2 linked regions of the Mus musculus genome follow. The protein of the gene in region 1 interacts with the protein of each later gene in a pairwise test. Links are inferred from orthologs where the notes say so. Each region holds a gene or a part of one and is shown on either strand. Other genes may lie near its edges.

Region 1 (8,358 bases):
GTCAGGCTTGGTAGCAAGAAGTGCTTTTACCCACTGAGCCATCCCATCAATTTCGTTTTTGTTTGGGTTTTTTGGTTTGTTTTTTAAGTACATGCAACACACACACACACACACACCCTAGAGACAGAGTAGGCAAGGGATACTTGGAAAGGGTGGGATGCCAGATAGTGGAGGGTCCTAAACGATGCTGAAGCTAAAAAGCCACCTCAGAGGCTTTGTGACAACATGGAGAGGTCATAGGGGAGAACAATAGTTCTGAAGGGAATGGAAGGCCCAGCTGAGAAGACCCTCAGTTCTTCTGCACACAGGCCTCGCCTTCTGGAGCAGCGTGGGAAGGGCACAGTGTGCAGAGGTCACTGGGTCTTGGAGCAGGTCGGATGGATTCTCATCTATGACATTTCTGGAAGTGGCTTCAGACATACAAAAGAAGAGAGCTGGTTAAGCAAGCCACCTTGTTTCAGGACAGACAGGCAGAAACAAGCCACAGCCTCTAGTTCATGGCTGGCCACATGCAAGTTTTCAGGTAGCCTCTGCCATCCATCACCTCCCCCCCCAAAAAAGAAACCCAGCCATATTCTGTGGCCCTTTCCCTGTGTGACTTTCAGGGTTCCAAACCTCTAGAACTATAGGATGGCTTCTCTATCCTATATCCACTGTTGCCCATCATACTGAAGAGACGGGACCTCCTGAATGTCATCTATATGTTGAGTCACTAGAATTCTTCCTCAGTGTCTCCTTGGGGACCAGAGGAAACTGAATTTGATAGCTGTAAAGGAAGCCTGCCACATATAATGGGACCCTTAGCTGGGCTTGCCAGCGGCCACCTTCAGATCAGTGCCTCTTCCTTTATGAAAACGATTTCAGCTGACACAGCTAACTGTAAGAGAACTGTTCTGAATGCAAACTGTGCCGTTCACAAGCATCCTCTACAGACTCAGACCTGTCCTTCTACAGCTTCAGGCTACAGGGTTTCTCCAGGAGAAGGTATCACGTCTTTGGGTCAATCTTAGGACATGTTTTGTAAGGGAATATGTAGCTTGACTGGACTCCTTAGGTTCAGAGCTCAGTTCTCACTGGCCATTTGATCTGTGAAGAGTGCCTGAACTTTCTTTCAGCCTCGTGCTGCCTGTTTAGAAAACAGGAACTAGTTATGTCCACCTTATAGAATCACAAGACTGTCTGGTGAAACTGCTCAGGGGAATGTCATCGCCAATGGTAATGATATTAACATTATCAGCTGATGATAAGGATGGCGGTAGTGACACAGGGGTGACAATGGTTCTGTTAATGGTGGTGGTGATGGCGCTAATTGTTCAGGTCCAGATGGTGTGAAATTCCTTCCTCAAGCAGGAAGCCTGACGCCTGACGCCTGCCTGACGCAGATGTGTGGCCCCTTGACTGTGGAAAACAGCAGGCAGGAGATAAAGCCAGTGCAAATGTCCCCCAGCAGGAGAAAAATTAGGCCACAAATTCAAGGAAGGGCAAAAGAAAGAACTCAGATAAGGAGGTCAAAGAGACCATGCTTGGGGCTGGAGAGATGATTCAGTGGTTAAGAGCACTGGCTGTTCTTCCAAAGGGCCAGGGTTCAGTTCTCAGCACCCACACGGCAGCTCACAATTGTCTGCAATTCCGGTTCCAGAGGATCTGACCCCTCATACAGATATTCATGCAGGAGAAAAACAATGCACACAAAATAGAAATAAATCAATGTACATAAAATAGAAATAAATAGATTATATATACAAACATATACATATATACATGTGTGTATACACACACACACACACACACACACACACACATATATATATATATAAAAGAGACTTGCTCAAGTTCTGCTTGTAATGCCATCTCTAGTAGCTAGATAATATATAAACAGCAGTGGGAAAATAAAATTTGTTCATTCTTAAAGGGAACCCAGAGTCTTGTGTCTCTTTCTACCATTATTCTTCTTTCCTGTACTTCCCAAGACTGTGCTGGACACAGTAGGTAGTGATGGTGGCGGCGTGGTGGTGATAGTAGTGGCAGCAGACTTAGTCTCTTTTGAATAGTGTCTAGGATCCTCTGATTTCCATTGAAACCCAGGACAAAGAAGCACAGACTCTAGACTGACAACCTAGCTTTGAGAGGCCAAGTTCTCTGTAAAGCTGTATGTCTTGTATAAGGTAAGCTGGTTGCAGAAGCAGACATGGACCATATATTCCCTTACCCTGGAGACCTCTCCCATATCCATACTAAGGACTCCCAGGTAGAGACAGGTTCCCCAGAAATGGAGAGTTCTGAATACCACATACTCATGTGCCCCCAATTTTCTATAGAATGTATGAAGTAGATCATCTCTTAGCACACTTGAGAATTTGGTTGTGTGTGTATGTGTTTGTGTGTGTGTGTGCATGCATGCATACATGCTGTGTGTATGGTTTAAGGATTTATATATGTTATGAGTACAAATGTGTGTACAAGTACACATGTGTATGTGTTTGTATCTGTGTGTATGTTTGTGTGTACAGGTACACATGTGTGCATGCTTGTGTGTGTGTGTTTGTGTGTACAGGTACACCTGTGTGCATGTTTATGTATGTGTGTTTGTGTGCACACATACACATGTGTGTGTTTGTATGTACAGGTACATGTGTGTGTGTGTGCATGTAGATACCAGAGGTCAACCTCAGATGTTATTCCTCAGGACTCTTACTTTTTTTAAGACAGGAACTTACTGATTCTCCTAGATGGACTTCCTGCCTGGGCCTTCCCAGGACTAAAATGATAAGCATAGCATACACAACCATTCCTAGTTTCCATGGGTCCTGGGAATCAAACTCAGGTTCTCATGCTTGTGCATCAAGTACATTACTGACCGAGTCCCAGCCCTGATCATTCATTTTCCATATTTCTTGTTTATCTTTGTCTTCTCTACCCATTACCTTCACTAGAAGACAGGCTTCAGGAGGGCAGGAATGTGTCTATTTCACTGCTATATTCAAAATGCCCAAGACAGCACCTCATATACAGTAGGTTCTCAATAAATATTTACTGAGAGATCAAATGCTAAATGGGAAGAATTAATTGATGCCTTTGTTCCCCAGTTCAGGCTCAGTTTCCTGGCTTGTTGCCTGGATCCTTCTCAAACAAACAGAGAAGGGTGAGGTGTGGCCCCAAGTGCCTAATCTGTCTTCTTTCCGACTGGACCCAGGATGGGACTGTGAGCAGGAGAGGGCAGGGCTCAGCCTGGAGTTCTGACCCTGGCTGAAGCCATGGCCTTTAGAGGTCCTGATCCCTACCTCCCTGCATCCCTGCTGAGCCAGCGACTGAAGGCTGGAGAGAAGACACTGGACCTGGAGTTTGAGATCTTGAGTGTGGGATTTAATGAGGAGGGCCGGTACGCCCTGAGGCTGTCAGCTGAAAACCCACTGCAGGCAGGCTCCAGTGCTGGGGTGCAGTTGCAAGTCAATGATGGGGACCCCCTTCCAGCCTGCTCAGCTGTCACTGAGGTCATTGAGCAGCAGGATCCTGGCCAGAGCCTCACCTTCACCAGGAACAAATTTATCTTCACTCTGCCCAAAGGTACAAAGTGAAGTCAAGGGTTGGGGGGGAAGCAGGATCTTTGGGACTTCTGCCCTAGAGCTGATCAGGACCCTGGGGGACTGCAAGGGACCTGGACAGCCAGAGGCAGAGCTCCAGCCTTAATTCTAAGCTCTGCCTGTGTGACTATGTGGCCTTGGGCAAACGCTGGTCCTGTAAGGTTCCTGCTTCCTTCAGCGTGGCATGGATGCTGAAACTGTTCTCATAGAGGGCAAAGGTGAAGAGGAACTAAAGGGGGATGTGAATTTGATAGAGACAAAGCCCACAGCATGTTTAGACCTAGGCAGTGAACGGTACATGGATGAAGTGATGCTAGAAGCCCCCTGAGTTCCTTCTGATTGTAGGGATAGAGACTGGACAGACATGAATGGATAGAAGATCCTGGTCTTACTTTCTGGGAGCTTCCAGACTGGGTACAAAGAGGCAGGAATTTTAAGTCAAAACTAGCTAAGTAATCTAGAAGATCCAGGCTTAGACAGAGGACTTACCAGACAACAGTCCTGGTGTATATCCCAGGCTAAGGTTAGCCAAACTCTTCCCTGGTGTCAGAACCCAGAACAATTCCATGGGCTATAGGCCTCCTCACTCTGGTGGGGTCACATGAGGCATAGGTAAACCAAAGGAGTCTTGAGTGAGGGCTGAGAGGAGTCAGCCACAAGGGAATTCTTAGCCGAGCTCACTTGGATTCAGTTCAAGTTGCCCCAGGGCCCTGGATGTCCTTCTCACCCCTTGGAGAAGGGAGGGAGATCCTAAAGACCACATTTAAAGCCATGTTCTCCACCCAGGGTTCTGTAAGAATGATGGGCAGAGTGATGCACATCTGCGTGTGGAGGCTCTGAGGCTGGATGGATCCTCAGGACAGGAGGCTCAGAGGGTAGGTGAGGCCATCTTCCCCATTTACCCACGACCAGATGAGCCCCGAATGAACCTCACAGCACAGGATCATGAAGACCTGTACCGCTATTGTGGCAACCTGGCTCTTCTCCGAGCCAGCGAGGACCCCACAGCCCGCCACTGTGGGGGCCTGGCTTACAGTGTGGCCTTCCATGTGCACAGGGACCCTAGGTCCTCTGTCTCAGACTGTCAACTGGAACCCAGCCAACCAGAGCTACAGGTAGGTGCTCCTGGGTCCCAGTTCAGGACACAGCCTTTGATGAAACTGGCTGTCTGCAGCCCTACAGTCCCCAACCTCAATCTCCTACGTTCTCAGCAGACTTCGAGGGAGGCCCTGAGTGACAAGATAGAAGAATCTTATATGAGCCCATTCAGCACTGACAGTGACCAGGAGGGGCTCAGCTGGGAAGCAGGACCCTGGCAGCATCCGGCTCAGGTGAGGGGCACCAGCCCTTCTGTGGGAGGGTTCCCTACTACGTTCTCTCTCATTTAGGCATCACATCCAATTGAGAACTCACAGAGCAAGCAGTAGTTCATTGCACAGATGGAGAAAACACACCTCAGGATTCTAGGTTCCACGAAATGTCAACAGTTACTGGAAACCTCAGGACATACATAGTAGCGTGTGGTACCCAATGCCAGGACAGCCACTAAGTATGGAATGTCACTAGAGCCAATACATTTGGATAAAATATTGGTATTACACACAGTCCTTGACACTGTCATGAAGGCTCTGAAAGGGGTCAGGGTGTAAGCCCAGGACAGGCTTTCTCAGAAGATGTGTCATTTTGAAAGGGCTCTTTGCTTCCTTCCTCACTCATTTACGGGCTCCTCCATCCTGTATTTGTCTTTCAGACTAGGTGAGTGAGGTTTACGGGTAGCAATTTGGAGAAGGTTCCATGGGTGAGGTCTAGTATAAGCTAGCAAAGAGAAGAAGGTGGCTCAGTCAGCGGGCAGCAGAGGGACGAGTTGAGATGGAGCTCAGAGCTTGCTCTCTCTCCCTCCCCCCTCTCCCTCTGCCTTCTCTCTCCCTCCACCCCCCTCTCCCTCTCTCTCTAGCTCCTCCCCGCCCACACACTTTTCTTGCCTGGCACTGAGTAGAGGCAGGGAGGGAAACTGAGTTAGGTCATGGAGAGGTTCAATAGGGAAAGAAGTGGGAGGAGCTGAAGCTATCCTGGCACCGAGCAGAGGGAGGTATTCAATTCTGGAGGCAAAAGGTGAGGTGTGGGAGGGGCCTGTAAGGACAGGATTGTATGCAAAGTAAGCAGGCAGCATGTGACAGGGACCCAGAAGCAATGCTCTCATCCAGGCCTCTAACATGGCCCACTCTGACCTTTGTCCATTCATTTCTCAATCAATGAACACACCTTTCTGACCTACTCCTGTGCTCAGCCCCAATCCGTTCTGGAGGCTAAGTGTATGGACGAGATGGACAGTCTAGGTGAGGCTGAAACTCCCTGTGCTCCTAGCCTGGGCCCAGCTCCTCTGTCTAATGCTATCATCTAGGGACAGACACTCTGGAGGAGGTCAAGAACTCAGGAACTGTCCCTGCTCTTTGGGTCTCCCTGGCCTGGCCAGCCTGAGGCACATGGATGTGGATGGTGTACTCAGGCTACAGTGTAAAATGGGTGAAAGGAGGTTGGGAACTGCTGCGGGGAGGAGGGCTGGCGCGATGGCTGCAGTCGACCTCAGCAGCTCTAATTTCTGTTATTTAAAGCTATCATCTCTGCGCCATACTCCCTCTTAAAGTGTCAGATGTCTGCTTCTACCGAGACAAGAAAATAGCTTTCAGGGGAGAGGAAAATCACACCCCTTAGGGGGGATGGGAGGGGTCAGCAATCACAGCCCTGATGGCAGTGCCAGAGCCACAGACAATGGAGGCTTCCCTGTGAACAAGGGAAGGGTGCTTGTAGTTAGACAGACTCAGCCCAGCAGCTCAGGCTAAGGAGAGCAAGCTCCTGTCCCTATAGATACCTGGGGGCGGTGGCAGGACACAAAGGGCTAGTGGGGCTCTATTGCTCTTTGGACCTGTATCCTGGAACTATAGGAGCCCCAGCAGTCATATTGTCTCCCTGCCTTGTGGATAGGGACAGGAAGTCCAGATAAGAGTATTTCATAAGAAAAGGACATTCCCCAGGAGAGAGGGGCTTCCCCTGGCTTTCTGGTTGACAGCTGAAGAGGAGAGAGGAAGGCAGTGAACAGGGGGAATAAAAGGGACAAGAGAGAACTTCATTTTGGGGCTCCAGAGCAACCTCGGCAACATTCAGTTCAAGCCCAAGAACAAATTTCTGGGCTCCAGGAGCAAAAGCTTCAATTCAAAGGCATTTCCTCCAGGAAGCTTTCCCCAGCACAGGGTTCATCCATTCAACCCTGTTCTCAGCCCTGCTGGCACCAGACGGCTCAACAACTGGTTCAGTGTAGGACTTTGGTTTCAAGAGTGCTTTTTGCTTTACATGGTGTGTGACATTTTCTCCCAAGCATAACAGTTAAAGGTCATGGGGTGGGGCAATAGAACAAGAAGATGAAGGGCAGGCAGGCATCTAACTGGGCTACAGGGAAAAGGGCTAAGTATCCATGTCTGCTGACTGAGTCTGAATCCTTTTGCTTCCTAGCCATGGTGCCCTTGGTTCTAAATGGCCACACCAAATGTTGTTGCTCTGAGCTAATATTTTCCAGGGGGTGGGGGCGGTTAGCAGGAACTGTTCCCGAGACTATTTCCAACAGGAGCAGCCAGAGACTGAGGGTGGAGGTCCCTCAGGGGTGCCCTGATTCACCAAGGAGGACCCTAGGAGCACACTGGCAGGAGCTACCCCAAGTTCCCTGCAGCCAACGGCTGTCATCCTCCCCTGGGGCACAGGGGCTTCCTTAGAAGCCTGCCCTTTCCTGATACTACCTGTATTCACTTCCTGGAAGCTTTGAGATCACACAACTAATCCTCTGTCTTTGTCTAAAAGATGGTTCAGTGATCAGAGAGGAAGCAGGTGGTCTGTACAGTGCTGGGAAGAGGGACCTGGGGGAGAAGAGTAGAAAGTGCAGGCAAGCCTGAGCTATGACCAGCTCCCCCCTCCCAAATACCCTACTGTGTCTCCTGGTGAGGTTGGGGAGGGAAAAGAGGACCGGTGTCTTCAGTCCCTGAGCCATTCTGCCCTCAAAGGTCACTAGTTGAGGGACATCTTCCCACAGGCAGAGCTGTTGAAGAGGGAAACTTTGAACTGGAAATCCCCAGGTAAGGAGTTTCTGGAAACATGAATTGAATTCCTTGCTCATAGTTCCGGGGGCCACCTTGGGGATTCCTGCGATTTTGAACCGTAATTTCCTCCCGCAAGACCCTGCGGTCCAGGTTCCTGTGGAAGAGGGAGGAGGGTGTGATGAGATCGACCCCGCAGTACCTCTTCCAAACAATCATGGTTTTGTTTCATGGAAATGATTCTGTTTCCCTGGAGCCTTTTAAAAGACGCTTTTAATTTTTTTTTATTTCTTCCATTTAAAACACCTTTTCATTTATTTATTTATTTTTGCCCCAGAGGAGCAGGAAAAGAAAGAAAGAAAGAAGAAAGCTAACAAAGCAATCACTAAATGAGAAGCACCTGGCTCGAAGCCTGTGGCTTCTAACTGTAGCTCTGGCACTAAGAAGGTGGGGGCTTTTATTAAGAAGTGGAGGAGAACCAAGTGCCGAGGAGAGGGCGGAGTGGCTAGCTCACCTCCACCCTCTGTCCCTACACCTTGGTGGTAACCCTTTGCCTTTCCCTTTGTTCCCTCTCTCTCCCCACCCCCATCCTGCCTGTTTCTTCCTGGTCGCGATTCTGGCTAGAGCGGCAGGTCTGCACTTTCGCCGCCCCGGGAACCCTCCAGCTTCGGCCGGAGCGCTGCCAGTCTTCACTC
Region 2 (6,676 bases), on another chromosome or scaffold:
TCCTATGTTAGCCTTCAGTGACTATTCTCTCTAAATGATAATGTATAACCTTACCACAAATGGAGTTTCCCTGAACGCTTTGCACGTAGGTGGTTTTCCTTGTTATTTCTAGTGGTTCTAATTACATATGTTGTTATTCTTAACTCTTAGAGTCCCTAGCACCCACGAGCTATGGTAGCCAACATGCCACTGAAGAAAACCTTTGTGGGCACTGTAGTAGGATGCCCTTCATTGCACAGCTCTGCATACTATAGACCCAAGCACAACTACCTCCATTCTGTGTAAAAACAGGAGGCCATAGCAGATCAGCCTAAGCTTGTTTCCTTAGGAATGACCCCAAAGCTGATTTGTTAACTACATCTCTCAAGCCTGAACAAACTTAAGGTTGTGGGATGCTTTTTATAAATTAAAATTACTGTTGAGGAGTTCATTTAGCTTTCACTCCACTTACATTTCTGTCCACTCAACAGTTACAGGCGTGTTACAAGGTATCAGCACTAAAATTGCTCTTGTTAACAAGTCAGGCAAATGTCACCAACACCACAAAAGCAAGACCATCCCCTTCGTCCCTTCCTCTATTCTACCCTTGGGTTTCATTTCTCCTTTTAGCATTTTAAATACTCAGTAGAATGAAACTTGTTTAAACCCTGGTAAGAAAAAAAAAGTCTATCTCAGTAGCTCTCAACCTTTGGGTTGTAACCTCTTTGACAAAAGGGAATTCTATCTCCAAAAATATTCATAATTCATAACAGTAGCAAAATTACAGTTACGGAGTAGCAACAAAAGTAATTTTATGGTTAGATGTCACCACAATATGAGGAACTGCATTAAAGGGTCGCAGAATTAGGAAGGTGAGAACAACTGGTCTAGCTATACTGTGTTCATGTTGGACAGGTCTGGAAACATTCCTGTTTTTTATTTTACATTATTCTAGATCATGTGATCTTTAAGAACATTTGACTTTGTTTCTATATTTCTGAGAGATTTTAGGGATATTTAATGAGCACTCATCTCTAGACCAGTCCAAACAGAACTGTAAGAGATTTTTTTTTTGTTTTTTTTTTTTTATTTTGTTGTTTCCTTGTTTTTGAGACAGGGTCACTCTTTGCATGTTAGAACTCTGTAGACCAGGCTGCTCCCAAACACACAGATATACCTGAATCTGCTTCACAAGTGCTGGGATTAAAGAAGTGTACCAGGGTTGTCCCCTCTATAACTGGGGGAAGGACTCTACAAACAGCCAAATGTACACGGTCCCTATAGCTTTAATTTTAGAACGTTTAGTCCTGATTCAGTTTATGTCCACTTGGATTTTTATACAAATTTTGTTCTTTTTTATTTATTTTTGTTTTTATGAAACAGGGTCTCCCTGTGTAGCTCTGGCTGCCCTGAAATTTGCTACATAGACCAGGCTGGCCTGGAACTCACAGAGATCTGCCTACCTCTGTCTCTCAAGTGCTAGGATTAAAGATGTGCACCACCAAGCCCAGTCCAAATTCTGTTCTTGGTGAAAATGAAAGGTTCAGTTACTGAGAGAGGGGAAATTTTTGATGAATGTCTATGCAAAAGACTTTATTCAAAGGTTTTCATTTGCCCTGTTTCCAAACATTTTCCTGTGCTCTCCCTATCTAGTGACGACGTTACATCCCAGAGAGCTGCTTTACAGGAAGCAGTACAGAAAGTGTCATCTCTAGGATACAGAGAGGATGTTTCTGTAAGGAAGGTTGCGGCATCTTCACCTGTTGTGAGAGGGCAATCTGGACGTGGCTGTAGACATGTCATCAGAGAATTATGCCCACTTCCAGTCAGGTAGCCTCGGGTACGTGCTTTTGGGATACTCCCCCTCAGAACTGGGGTTCTAATCTCCAAGTACATAAGGAGATGAAATGGAGAACAGATAGCCTGTCTAGCCTTTATGGGTCAAGTATGGGTTCAAAAGCACTGAAGACACATGAGGGAGAGCAGCCTTGGACCAGAGCCATCTTGGAAAACTCGGGTCCAAATGGGAATCAGAGGATGGCACAGGATATAAGGGTATCCTGCCTCAGGAACCCAGGGCAAAAGCATCTCTGAAGGGAAAGGACACGGAGCTCTGAAAGTAAACACCAGACTCACAAGCTCAGACCGAGTTTGACTTTAGAAACAAGTGCAGAGCCTCGGGCAGAGATGCAGAAGAGCTGCCTCTGCCCACATGGTTAAGAATCCTGGCTCTGCCAGGCAACAACAGTAGCACATGCCTTTAATCCCAGCACTTGGGAAGCAGAGGCAGGTGGATCTCTGTGAATTTAATGCCATCCCGGTCTACAGAATGACTTCCTGGACAGCCAGAGCTACATAGAGAAAACCTGTCTTGGAAAAAGCAAACAAGAAAATCTCCTGGCTCTTACTGACTCCATCGTCTTCCCTCTGCTTCTGCGGACCCCAGGTGATTGGGTATCTCAAGCACTCACTCCCCACTGGGCACCGGAAACCACAAAGCAGAAATTTCATATCCATTTATCTCTGTCTTCAACTTTCTAGGTGAGGATCCTCCAACAAAACCAAGGTTATAAAGAGAAAATCATGTAAACTTGTTCTGGGTTGTATGTGGCATAAGATCCTGCAGAATTAAGGTGCTAAAGGGTAGGGTATGTGTTTGTGGACAGTCAAGCTCCAAAAGTGGTATGAAAAGAACTCCACAAGGCCTGTTGCCTAGACTCTTCTTGGCTTCTCTGTCACATGAAGTCTTCACAGGAGAAGGGAGGAAGAAGCCAGAGAGTGACTTTCTGGATTTTGTGTATTGCCTCCTGGAGGAGGGAAAGGAAGCCGGGTTGCGCACGCCTTTGATCCCAGCACTTGGGAGGCAGAGGCAGGCAGATTTCTGAGTTTGAGGCCAGCCTCCTCTACAAAGTGAGTTCCAGGAGAGCCAGGGCTATACAGAGAAACCCTGTCTCGAAACCCCCCCCCCCCAAAAAAGGGAAAGGAGCCTCTTTACTCTTTCCTTGACAAAACGCAGTATTTGAGGTATGTTTGGTATGTTTCCTATCCCTTCATCTCAGTAAACTGAAGGATGGTTCATGCCTTCAATAGAAGTCCAGGATAATCACGAGGCCCTCTTCTGTGGGTCCTGGCCACGTCCAAGGAGCTCAGACCAGGTTCTCATACCTGGTGATACCTGTGAGTTTCTCACACAGGTCTTTGAAGCAAGGTCTCTGCTTGGGGTCTCTGCTCCAGCAGCTGAGCATCAGCTTGTGTATGTTGGGTGGGCACTCCAGAGGGCAGGGCATGCGGTAGCCGGCATCCACCCTCAGGAAGGTTTCATGATTGGACATGCCTGTGGCCCATGGGAGAAGAGAAATGAGAGCTAGGAGACTGATCCCTGGAAGCCACACCCAGCTTCCTTTGGCTCCTCCCTGAATGCTGACCCCTGCTAGAATGACCACCATCATGCCCTGGACATGTTGTAGCACACTGTCCATGGATGTTCCCTTCCCTGTGGATGGTGTCTCCCAGAAATGATCCCAAAAGCATGCTCCCAGATGCTCGAGGAATGAAACAGGGGTGGGGTCTGGTTGAGGCCCTGGGAAACACCTCCTGTCATCTCTGTCACCCATTCAAGACCTGCCCTGACTCTAGCTCACTATTTGTCCACCCCTGGAGACATTCTTGGGGCAATACCTGGGTAGGGCATCTGCCCCCTGCTGAAAATTTCATGAAGAAGAACTCCAAAAGACCAGACATCAGACTTGATGGAGTAATGCCCTCGGGAAAGTGCCTCAGGTGCTGTCCATTTGTAGGGGACATTGTGCTCATGGGAAAGGTAGATGTCCTCCTGTGGTAAGATGTCTTATGGTAGGACCTGACACTAGAGAGAGCTGCCACTTGTACCCTTCTTGTGTAGCACTGACAAGCATGGACTCCAAGGTCCTGGTGAGCAGGGACAACCACATTGCCTATTGCTGTCTGACCCACTAACACCACCCCACTGCTACCATGGGTAGCTACCACCAATGCTGCCAGAATCATGGCTAGGCCCAGTAAATATGCCAATTCACTAGAATTCTGGGTCAGGGAAAGACAAGAGCAGAGTTACAATGCATGAATACAGGAAAATCTCTAGGTACATGGCTATGTCTGTCTAGGTTCTCAAAGCTAGATCAGTAGGGTATGAACAAGGCTGTGGCTGTATAGATAAAGCCATCTTGCTTGCCTATTAACGCCACCCTATCAGGAACCCATCTTGCTTATGGCTAGGTTCAGCTCAAGGCTTGGGAGATAAAGCCCCACCTCCTGCTTCTGTCTCCTACCTCCAAGGGACCTACCTTGACAAGCCTGGCAAGCCCAAAGTCCCCCACTTTGCAGAGATTGTTCTCTGTAACAAGAACGTTCCTTGCAGCCAGGTCACGGTGGATGTAATTCTGAGATTCCAGGTAGCACATGCCCTCAGCAACCTGTGATGCAAAGTCCACCAGCTCCAAAATAGGCAGGGCTTTCTCATCAGAGTCTGTAGGGTGATCAAAGGCCAGAGTCAGCTGGCCAGAGACCAGTCCTCATTTACTGTGGCTACGAAGGCTACAGCAAAGAGCAGCTGGCTTGGCTTAATTGCAAAATGGGAAGGCCTAGACCTTCTGCAGCTATGTACCTAGAGACAAAGAGCATATTCTTTGTCTGACACCCTTTCTGGGAATCATAAAGCAATCTAAGGTCAAGAGCATTGCTGCAAGATATTCTTGGTATGTAGCCATTGAACACTCTAGATAATGCGCAGCCAGCAAGTACTACACCTACAAGGGGCATGAGTTTCATCTCTGGAGACTTCTTCCTGCAGAAACTGCTTATGAGATCAAGCTCTTTATGAGAAACACAAAGAAAGAGAGAGAATTTAGAATTTAGAGAGAAGCTGGTGGGCTAAGGCAAGTCACTAGCAGGCTACACAAGCCTATAGTAAAGTAACCTCAGCTAACTGTGAGGATAGAAATTGTGAGGGAGAGTTCTTTTCTGTACTTTTTCAAATTTTATGATCAGCAATTGGTAGATTTTTTTTGTACTTAATAAGACCATTTACTTGTCTCTTTTGTTATGTATGTATGTATGATGTGTGTGTGTATGTATGTGGAAGTCAGAGGACAACATCGGGTGTTAGTCTTCACCAGTGACGTGTTCCAGGATGGTTTTGTGGTTTGCTACTGAGCCAGATAAAACAAGAATTCTCCCATTGCCTCCCATCTCACCGTAGAAGCCTAGGGGTAACAGAAGCCCGCTCCTGTGCTTGCCTTTACACTAACTAGTTCTGAGGATTCAGACTCAGGTAACAGAAGCCCACTCCTGTGCTTGCCTTTACACTAACTAGTTCTGGGGACTCAGACTCAGGTCCTCGTGCCTGCCTAGCAAGCACTTCACCCACTGAGCCATCTCTCCCACCATTGGTTTTTTTTTTTTTTTTTTAACGATTTGTATGTATGAGGCAATGTAGCATGTGTGATGTAATGCATGTACTCATTATTAAGGGTGTGTGCACATGTATACATGTGTACATGTGCATGTCTTTCCTTGATTGTTTTATATCTTTGGTTTTGGGGGGTTTGGGGAGGGAAAGGAGAAAGGTTTGAGACAGGGTTTCTCTGTGTAGCCCTGGCTGTCTTGGAGCTTGCTCTGTAGACCAGGCTGGCCTCAAGCTCAGAGAGCAGGCTGTCTGTGCCTCCAAATGCTGCCTCCAGCACTTTCACCCGGGAAAGGAGACTGGAGCTTTGCACGTACCACGCAGTAGCTGCAGCAGGTTCCCCTTGGGCATGAGCTCCGTGATGATGTAGACCGGGTCCCCTGCAGTCGCCACAGCGTACAGTGACAGGATGTGCTTGTGCCGCAGCTTCTTCATGGCCTGAATCTCAGCCTGGAAGGTGTGCTGGTGCAGGAGATTGTCTGAGAGACATCAACCTCAGTGAGTATAGCCCTCGACCTGTGCCCCAAACAGGATCCTGGCCCAGACCTCCTGAAGCAAGTCAGGCAATGTGGTCAGCCTAGGAAGACAAAGGCTGGCCTCCAAGCTACCACACTAAAGCCTTCCCCACCCCGAGCCCTCAGTGCCCCAAGACTGATGTGTCCATTTGCCCTCCTGTGCCCAACTTGGTCACAATTGCCAAAGTCAGCATTTCCCAGCCAGATGTTTTCAAAGTCCTGGCTGACCTGATTCTTGAGGTTTCAGGTATAAACCTGAGGGTGACGTTGGGATTTGAGATGAAACTCACATTTCCAGTGACTTGTTTAAAAACAAAAACAAAAAACAAAACAAAACAAAACCAGGTACAATTGAAAGAAGTTACTCCCACCATGATGCTGTGGGTGCCCAGCAAGTGTGTTGGGATACCCTCAGTGGGGGAAGACTGGAAGTGCCTACTAGAAGGACTAGTGGGGAAGCAGCACGTGATCATGTTGAGTTAGTCCTGGGCCTGCTCACCTCTAGAGATCACCTTCACAGCCACATGGACCTGGCCTTTCCAGAGCGCTTCAAAGACCTCCCCAAAGTAGCCGGCCCCCAGCTTCTTACAGAGTGTGAACTCCTCCCTCGGCCTCTCCCAGTCATCCCAGTGGGGCAAGGGCTCAGTTTTGTGCTGGAGAGACAGAAAGGGCAATAGGAATGGGTAGGAATGGGGGCTGGGTCGCCCAGCTTGTCTTCAGGAAGGGCTTGCTCCAACCCCTC

Evidence for each region. The genes of interacting proteins can lie anywhere in the genome.
Region 2: the proteins of Ccdc33 (region 1) and Ptk6 interact in a two-hybrid assay, tested with the Homo sapiens proteins (2 studies listed by BioGRID and IntAct). The two-hybrid records come from large-scale screens. The link is inferred for Mus musculus from reciprocal best matches to the Homo sapiens genes CCDC33 and PTK6.

What each region holds. Positions count from the first base shown.
Region 1 is NC_000075.6:58,113,641-58,121,998, reverse strand, and holds the start of Ccdc33 (coiled-coil domain-containing protein 33), read left to right. Parts: upstream 1-3,175; 5' UTR 3,176-3,254; coding exon 3,255-3,564; intron 3,565-4,367; coding exon 4,368-4,696; intron 4,697-4,792; coding exon of another isoform or gene 4,793-4,795; coding exon 4,796-4,912; intron 4,913-8,358.
Region 2 is NC_000068.7:181,192,644-181,199,319, forward strand, and holds the end of Ptk6 (protein-tyrosine kinase 6), read right to left. Parts: intron 6,588-6,676; coding exon 6,434-6,587; intron 5,899-6,433; coding exon 5,737-5,898; intron 4,484-5,736; coding exon 4,302-4,483; intron 3,812-4,301; coding exon 3,658-3,811; intron 3,314-3,657; coding exon 3,126-3,313; 3' UTR 2,481-3,125; downstream 1-2,480. UniProt on the Homo sapiens protein: Non-receptor tyrosine-protein kinase implicated in the regulation of a variety of signaling pathways that control the differentiation and maintenance of normal epithelia, as well as tumor growth.